2 linked regions of the Neurospora crassa OR74A genome follow. The protein of the gene in region 1 purifies or fractionates together with the protein of each later gene. This does not show direct contact. Links are inferred from orthologs where the notes say so. Each region holds a gene or a part of one and is shown on either strand. Other genes may lie near its edges.

Region 1 (4,553 bases):
ACTGAAGGAACGCGGAGAAAAAGGCAAGGCAAATGGCGAAGATTAGGTTGGTGGTAGTGAATGTCTGGTCGGTTGGCGGGCCGATTAATTAGTTGAAAGTAGCGCAATATACTGGTAACCAGAAGGGAAAATGGATGCGTAAATGTGTGACGGAAGAGTCGCCAAAGAAAGTTCGAGGGCGGGAAACGGTTGGATACGAGGATGGAGGAAGGATTAGAAGGGAGACTGAAATCGCGAAGACGGACATTGGGACGTGAAACTGAAATGTTGGACTTGCGCTGGCAGTTGACCAGATGACACTGCATCCATTCATGCTCCCTGCTCTTTCCTCTCGTTGTTGAAGATTATGGTCCGGGACCGCGGCAGGGATCAGCAGCCCAGGGCAGCATTGGAACGTCAGGCGGACGTGGGGCGAGCTTTAATGAGACAGGCTATTAGACTCTCCACTCTGTAAGGCACTAACTGAATGCCACCGCACTCGGCCGCGGATGCAGTTAGAGAAACCTGTGGCTCTACATTTTCGGAATATGTAAGGTATTCGTAGACCTCTTGGGTAGAGGTAGGTGAGGTGAAGCCGAAGGGAAGCTTCTTTTAGGTTTACGAACTCACTACACAAGGGGAAAGTACTGATAATTTGCATTCAATTCTTTAGTCAAGTATAGGTATCTGGAGAGAGAGGCCTTCACGGCGACGCTTCTACGGGGCATTCAGGCCTCAGCAAACCACATAACTCGCCAGGAAAGGGGGGAAAATCCCATTTGAATGAGAATTAGAAGTGCTGCAAGTTGTTTGGTTTTGTGAAGCCCTAGTTCAAAGGCAGTCACAATGGCTCTAGAAATGATACCCCGGATTTCATCCGTTTTTAGAGTATCTACTTAGAGGTAATTCTTAGCTACCTACTTTGGTTGCGCCTCGATCGATGCTAATGGCGTTCCACCCTTGCTGGCGCTGCAGTGACAGGCCTTGAGTTTCTGGTACCGCTCAGCTCCAAGCGCCCGGCCTGACGTTCATTCATGTACTAGAGGTAGTACCCCAAATCCATGGGCCGCAGTGGGTCAGAAACGCAGTAACCCAGAGGCCAGGGGCATTCAACGAAGCGTCTTCCCATTCTGACAGACGTGACCCCATCATGTAAAAATGACATACCTCTAGTCACATCTCACACCTTTGGCTCGGATAACCAGAAATTCATCTCCCATTCTTGGGCTTTTGGGTCTGAGTGTGGGGGCAACCATACTATTCCAAAGAGTGGCAAAAAAATACAATGTGAAAGAACATTGAGTTGCAGTGCCGAGGTGTTATCGACTTCAAGGTTGATCGGGAAGTTGATTCTTTAAAAAGACTGGGCTGATGTCCAATCAAATGTACTACTAGCGAGTCTAGCTTAACTGAATGCTTAACAACAGTGTCTTGGTCAGTCAGCTTTGGATTTTTGCACTGTGAGCTTTTCTTACTCAACTGCAGGGGCCGAGCCACACACTGCAGCGTCACGGGCCCTCCTGAAACTATGTAAGTAAAGTAACCACGTTTTCCCTTTATCGAACTCCCGTCGCTGATGACAACAACGGAGGAGCTTGTTCAACCTCGACGACCACGACACCAACCATTTGACTCGACGACGGCGACGACCACGACCACGACGACGAACTTATAACACCGCCACTCATTCATACGTCATCGCGAGTCCATCGTGTAGCGCCTTTCATAAATACGACCTTCAATCAACACACCCACGACCAGCCGCCGACCTCCTCGCCAGTCGCGAATTAGCCTCGCTCCCGCCGCATCCCCCGGATCCGCCCATTTCCACTTTGCCAATCCATAATCTCCTCCGCAAACTCGCAGCCTACGAGTCGCATTCGCCCCCGGTCACGATTGACAAAGTTGACGACGTCTCGATTCCTGACTTACGAACTCCGACGTGTTATTGATTACGACTTAACCGCGTGCCGGTTGCTCAGGGGTACACGCGCCCCTCTACGACCCATTCCCCGCGATTAGCTGTTGGAAACGGACGGACTACCGCCTCAGCATATACCGATACACCTCTAATTATGGCTGTCTTTGCCATCAACGACCGAACGGAAGAGTTCCGACAGATTGTTGCGGCTGCCCAGCGTAGGCAGGCCACAAAGCCAGGAAAGCAGCGACTTCTGGACACCGCTCAACAACATGCTGCCAGCAGCGATGCCCAGCCCAGAAGGTCTGAGTTTGCGAGGGGGGCTGCAGAGATTGGAAGGGGTATCTCTGCGACAATGGCCAAGCTGGAAAAGCTAGCACAGCTGGCCAAGAAGAAGACTCTTTTCGATGACAGGCCGGTCGAAATCAACGAGGTAAGCTGGGTCATGCGCTTGATCTTTGCGCGCCTCGACTCCATAACTGGCTGGCTAACCATTATGTTAGTTGACCTTTGTCATCAAGCAAGACCTGTCTTCGTTGAACGAGAAGATCAGGAACCTGCAAGATCTCTCTAGACGTCTGCACCCGAAGCCCGACCAAGAAGGGGAGAACAACAAAAACATTCTCCTGCTCCTACAGGGCAAGCTGGGAGATGTTGGTGCTAATTTCAAGGACGTGCTCGAAATCAGAACCAAGAACATTCAGGCGTCGCGGTCGAGGACCGAGAACTTTGTCTCGTCAGTAGGTCAGCACGCACATGCTTCCTTGCAACAATCTGCGTCACCTCTGTACGGCACGCCTAGTAGGGGAACGCCAGCACCAGGGCAGCAAGATCTGATCTCGCTGAACCCGATGGGAGATCAGCAGATGCAGCTCCAGATGTTGGAGGAAGGCCAAAACACCTACGTCCAACAACGAGGGCAAGCGATCGAGGCCATCGAGTCGACTATCAATGAGCTGGGTTCCATTTTTGGGCAGCTCGCGGCCATGGTCAGCGAACAATCTGAGATGATACAAAGAATTGATGCCAACACGTAGGTTTGTCTCGAGACGCTCGACACACCAGCACTGTACTAACACACCATGCAGAGAGGACGTGGTAGAGAACGTCGAAGGCGCGCAAAAAGAACTGCTCAAATATTGGAGCCGTGTTTCAAGTAATAGATGGCTCTTAGCCAAGATGTTTGGTGTTTTGGTAAGCCCAGTATTCCTGCTCTGTTACCTATGCCCTGCATAAAACTCTAACGCTGTGCGACTTTGTAGATGATTTTCTTCCTTCTCTGGGTATTAATTGCCGGGTAGACGGCAGTTGTGGCGGCGTTTCAGTAATATTATACTTCTTCTTTATAATGCATGCAGAGGCGTCTCTTGTAGACTTTATGCATTAATTATACAATTTCTCTTCCTCATGAAGATGCGGTTCTTTTTTTGCATGCGCTCTTCCATGTCCTTTCACTGTTCCACAACATAACCTCTTGCAAGGCTGATAGAGCTCAGGTATACCTCTGGATGGTCGGTGGGGGCATTTGATTATTTATACCTACTTGCCGAGGAAGTTGGCTTCAGCATAGGGATCAAGACTCAAAGTTCGCTCTCGGTTCATCTAAGGTCAACAAATACTTAACCGACGGAATTCGCTTACGCTAAATGCCACCAATAGAGGAACAGGTTTAGACTAAGCACTCCACGCCCCCAGTTCCTGCAACTGTAATCATTTCAGTTCCACTCAGCTTCGGTACCTGGAACTAATGCTCTCCGCTCGAGCCCCAGAAAGAAACCCAGAGCAAGCGAACACGACGGATCCACTCGGCCACTCACTGTTACCACTATCTATAGTAGAGCGGACCGACACCACAGCAAGGTCTCATTCCGACAGAGGGGCAATCGTTCCGCCGAGGCCCTTGTTAGATTCAGCCAAGTTTCGCGGGGTAAGGTGAGAGGATGCCATCCGTTCCATTGACCGGATGTTTGTTGCTGGGGCTATCTTTGGCGAGGTTGTCGATATCCCACCTTCGAAGTACTGTCTGATATCTTAACGAAACGCCGAATGCCATCGAGTACTGACTAAACACGAAAAGACAGAAGCCCCGAGTGCCGTATTTCTGGACGCCTCAAACCCAAGTTCACGATGTTCGAGTTACACAATGGCGTGTCGATGTTCCGTTGTTACTTCCATCCACGCTGTCCATGAATAATTACAGTCGGAATTTCAGGTCTCATGATTACCTAGTCAGGTACAGACAACATGAAGAAAAAGAATCATTACAAACATGTAGCTTTCTCGGAATCGATAACACCATAACTATCCCCCACGCTCTAACGCCGATTGCCATTTAGCCGAATGTCCAGTGTGGCTCAAACCCTGGACAACCTTCTCCTCGAACGTAACTTGATATAACTGGTCAATCCTCCTCTGTCTTTCCTTTCCACTCTCAATCTTGATATCATAGCTTCTAGTCGACCCCAAAAGCTGGATTCTCCGTGTAAAATCAGCCGTTTCTTGTCTTGTTCACTCCCCATACTCCTTCTTTGAAGCTTGCCAACAGCAGCAACATCAGAATCTTTCGTAGTTGGAAACAAAACCAGATACCTCACCACCAGCACCACCATCAAAAAACCATCATGGCCACCAAAACCTTCAAGCTCAACACCGG
Region 2 (4,523 bases), on another chromosome or scaffold:
GTTCGCACGGATAGAGTAAGTTTATTTCCCCTTGCCTTTCACATCTCATGATGATCCCATAACCACAGTTCTCGCGATAATCTCTGAGCGATCGAACAAACATGCACTACCATCTGACTACTCCTTCAACACATCCTTCACTTGCAACTCATTTGGAGGAACCGTTGACTGACAATCAATAGTACAGACAAAGTTGTTATTGTCACCGTTGCTGTTCCACTCCGTTTTCTCAGTCTCTACCCACTAGGTAAGCATCACATTGTTTTCCTTTCTGTTTTCTTTCCCCCACCTGACATCATCACCCACCCGATTGTCCATGATGAAACAAAATATTTTCAGTTCTGCTTCTGAATAATAATGAGCGATAACCAATTATACCAAAACCTTCTGATATGGCAATCACCCCAACTCTTTCTTGCAACGACAGCCCTCACCACACATGCTGCGAGCAAGTTGGCTAACAAACTTCAAGTTATATAGGATCTGAAAACGATCTTGCGTCTAGTGGGAGAGTCGACATGCCCATCTGGTAGGTACTTTGCCTTTTTTTTTTTTCCTTTGTCCCATGCACAATGATGACAACAGTCTATCCATTCAACGATATGTACGGGCCGAGCCATCCATCCGCACTGGAGCGTCTTTCGGGGCGTGAGGACTAGTTGTGGTGTCTCCCTTCGGGGTGTCATTTGGCTTCCGTTGTCCGAGTCTCCTGCGCACCGTTTTGGGGCGTGGGAGGCTTGGGCCGGCTTTGTAGGGCTGAGTTAAAACGGCTTGTCTGATCTGTGTCGTCTTCGCCTTCTGCTCGATGCCGATTCGCGTATGACCTTGAACTGACCGGTCAGTAGTTGATGGCGTGAACGTTTCATACGTTTTGTTGCAACGCATCTTTGACGAGGTAAGGTTTGTGTTCATGACTCGACAACTCAATGACCCCAGTAAAATTGGATGTAGTTGAGGATCGACGGTGTGCCTGTCCTTGACATTTACATAGGGCTTCAAGATATCAGCAAGGATAGAACAATGAAAACAAGAGTTGCAAAATAGTTGATTATCTCCAATCAGACCCAAGATATTGCCCTTGATGATGTGCAGGAGAAGTCCAAACCCAGTAGAACGAATGACCGGACACTTGCCGCGACGTAAGCCCGGTTTCCCTTCAAATCATCTGTGTCTCGAGGTTGAACATCAAATAAATTGAAGACACACCCTGATGTACCCATCTGTATTGCACACAGATGATAACTACGGCACAGACTCGACGGTACTTGCATTGCCACTGTTTCAGGTCGACTTTGCCGTCAATTCTGGAGCCTTGTCCTTGGCGACTTTAAATCCTGTACACTGCACTAGAACCCCTGAAACCAAGGCGTCAAGTCTGGGGTCATTTGTGGGTGGGTGCAAAATGCGCTACAATTGGCAGGACCCCGTCGAACGGCCGGGCCACTTTGCGACGCCATTGGTAAAGAAATCCATCCCAACCCGCCAATCTTATCTGGACTGGTACTTAGTACGTGTATCGATCCGTCAAGCTGCCCACAGCCCGGTGCGAACACCTCAGCTTTTTATCAAACGACTCGGTGCTACAGGAACGCGATCGTCTTGATCTTCCGCCCAAACTTCTCTCTGACCGCGATGCATTGATCCTGAACCGGCCTGGTCCCTTCTCTATCATTTCGACACAGTTTCGGCAGCGCGTGCGTCGAGAACATCCAGCGAGAGACCGCCCAGTCTGCAGCATCTGTTAGCATTTCCGGTTCGCAGGACTCAGGTACCCTGCGTGTGCGCAAAGGGGGGTTGAGGTGCTCGATAATATTGGCCGCCCCTGCAGCGACCATCTATCACCAAACAGCCCAATGCTGCCGTACGCATCTTCCTCCGGGTCCAAGGCGGTCCCTCGACACCATGCGAGCGGATATTCCAATGGGTACCCGCGAGGAAACACCTTTGAGATTTCTCCTCACAGGTAAAGTGCCCCCCGCCCCCTGAATCACCAGGCGAACGAAACGAACGTTGGAAGCTGACGGGAGCGGCCTCCTATCATTCCACAGGTTCCAACCTCGAGGCGCGGCACCACCATTTCGAAGACGGAAGGGACTATTCCTGCGATTGGCAATAGCGCTGGTATCATTACTTCTCTTTGGGCTGTTCGTTTGGCCCGGCGATTCGGGGTCTTTCTCCTGGCTTGGCTCCGGTTCTGAAGATTTCCAACTCGAGACGGTGCGATACTACGACCTGTCTAACGTGCAGGGCACCGCGAAAGGATGGGAGAGAGAGGAGCGAATTTTGATCTGCGTGCCGCTGCGCGATGCCGAAGTGCATATGCCCATGTTCTTCGGTCACCTCCTCAACCTGACGTATCCTCACCATCTGATCGATCTCGCTTTCCTTGTTTCGGACTCGAAAGACAACACCTTGGCGGTTCTTGAACGCGAGCTTACGGCTATTCAAGCTAGCACCGACCCGTCCAAGCACTTTGGCGAAATCTCCATCATCGAGAAAGACTTTGGACAAAAAGTTAATCAGGATGTGGAAAGCCGCCACGGTTTCGCCGCGCAGGCGAGCAGAAGAAAGCTCATGGCCCAAGCTAGAAATTGGCTCCTTAGCGCCGCCCTTCGGCCGTATCATTCGTGGGTCTACTGGCGTGATGTCGACGTGGAGACGGCGCCTACCACGATCTTGGAAGATCTGATGCGCCACAACAAGGATGTGATTGTGCCAAGTAAGCCTCCTGAACCCTTAGCTGATATTGAAAGGATAACTGGAAATGCTAACCGGACTTTAGATGTTTGGCGTCCGCTACCTGACTGGCTGGGCGGAGAACAGCCCTACGACCTTAACTCCTGGGCCGAGTCCGAAACCGCCCTCGCACTCGCGGATACTCTCGACGAAGATGCAGTTATCGTGGAGGGATACGCAGAATATGCTACCTGGCGTCCCCATCTCGCATATCTCCGGGACCCCTATGGCGATCCCGACATGGAAATGGAGATCGATGGCGTTGGTGGAGTGAGTATTCTGGCAAAGGCCAAGGTTTTCCGTTACGGCGTCCACTTCCCGGCGTTCAGCTTCGAAAAACATGCCGAGACAGAAGCTTTTGGAAAGGTAAGCTCGTCAGGCCTTCCCGCGTCTTTGGATCCGTCTAACCGCTATGGTAACAGATGTCGAGAAGGATGGGCTTCTCAGTTGTTGGCCTTCCTCATTATACTATCTGGCATTTGTACGAGCCTAGTGTAGACGATATTAAGCACATGGAGGTAAGCAATCACGCATCTGGTTATGCAAGTTTGACAGGTCCCTAACAGTCGGCAGCAAATGGAGCAGGAGAGACTCGCTCGCGAGAAGGAGGAAAAGGAGAAAGCGATGAAGGAGCAGAAGATGAAGGAGTCTTTTGGCGACGCCACTGGCCAATGGGAGAAGGACAAGAACGAAATACAAAACCTCGCCATGCAGGAGAACAAGAAGGCGGAAGAGCAACCAGCAGCAGGACAACAAGGCGGACCGGCTGACGGACCAGCCAATGCTGCTCCCAAGGAGGAGAAGAAGGAGGGCACTCAGTGAGCTGTGCTCGAGTGTCCACTCGGTTTTTTTTTTCTATATTTTCTTCTATCTTTTTAATACTGCCTCTTTCGCTATATTTCTGCATCCTCATCTCTGGTTTAACGTTGTGTTTCGCCAAGTGGACGCATACCAAAGAAAAATGGGTGGGAGGCACTTGTGAAGCCGCCCGCTTATACATCTACCTATTATGTACAATGGGCAGTTGGAGAGGGAGGGTCAGATATCAGGGATATGTAATTGGCGACGGTTCACACCGCATTCACCTCATGTCAGGAACGGACCGGAAAGACAAAATCTTATGGAGGGTAATCTAAGATCATGTATACTAGAAGCGTTTCGCGGCCAACGAGTTCAAAAAAAATCATAGCAGAGGCGTTCCGGGAAATGTCTTTTTTGCTTTGCAGTCTGCTACAGCGACCACAAATGGGTTGAGTGCACAATACTGACGCCTCTCTGGTCGCTTCATCCTGTTGTCTGAGCGTAGCGGCCGGATGTCTCTCGATTGGCTACCCGGTGGTAGTTGCTATTTGGCTTCGGGCCCAGGCCGCGAATGGAGACACGCCGGCTGCCCGGTGCCTTTGACATCAGACTGCGTCTCGGGAGGTACGTCGACCTCCAAATGTGCTCCCCCTAAAATTTGCATAGGTAAGCACATGCATACAAGTTTGTGATTAGCGATATCTGTTCTTGAAGAGAAAAAAACGAAAAACAAAAAAGGACAGGAGCAAGACTCAAAACCCTCCGTGTTGTCACAAGAGCACTGCCGTTGGCGAGGTACATCCCTTCTATACATCAGACTAGTCTAGTGTACACAGAGGTATAATAGGTAGGTAACTTGGCGTAGTATTAGTTGTCAGCCGCGGCGGCCACTGATAGGTAGGTGTACATAGTACTGGATCTCCAAAGGACATTTGTTACTACCTGCGCTAGAGGTACCTTAGTTCTTGGCCACCGTCCACCTGTCA

The links.
Region 2: the proteins of NCU01907 (region 1) and NCU08024 purify together in Saccharomyces cerevisiae (affinity purification with western blotting; 3 studies listed by BioGRID, with this or other methods). This does not show direct contact. The link is inferred for Neurospora crassa OR74A from reciprocal best matches to the Saccharomyces cerevisiae genes SED5 and ANP1.

What each region holds. Positions count from the first base shown.
Region 1 is NC_026501.1:2,073,596-2,078,148, forward strand, and holds NCU01907 (syntaxin 5), read left to right. Parts: upstream 1-1,523; 5' UTR 1,524-2,054; coding exon 2,055-2,333; intron 2,334-2,403; coding exon 2,404-2,933; intron 2,934-2,988; coding exon 2,989-3,094; intron 3,095-3,162; coding exon 3,163-3,201; 3' UTR 3,202-3,832; intron 3,833-3,977; 3' UTR 3,978-4,240; downstream 4,241-4,553. Other genes in the region: NCU01906 (GCY protein), read left to right, coding at 4,522-4,553. UniProt on the Saccharomyces cerevisiae protein: Required for vesicular transport between the endoplasmic reticulum and the Golgi complex. Acts as a target organelle soluble NSF attachment protein receptor (t-SNARE).
Region 2 is NC_026504.1:3,953,162-3,957,684, reverse strand, and holds NCU08024 (mannan polymerase II complex ANP1 subunit), read left to right. Parts: upstream 1-1,522; 5' UTR 1,523-1,853; coding exon 1,854-1,963; intron 1,964-2,048; coding exon 2,049-2,719; intron 2,720-2,782; coding exon 2,783-3,102; intron 3,103-3,158; coding exon 3,159-3,254; intron 3,255-3,309; coding exon 3,310-3,558; 3' UTR 3,559-3,966; downstream 3,967-4,523. UniProt on the Saccharomyces cerevisiae protein: Involved in the organization of the secretory pathway. Required to maintain a functional Golgi apparatus.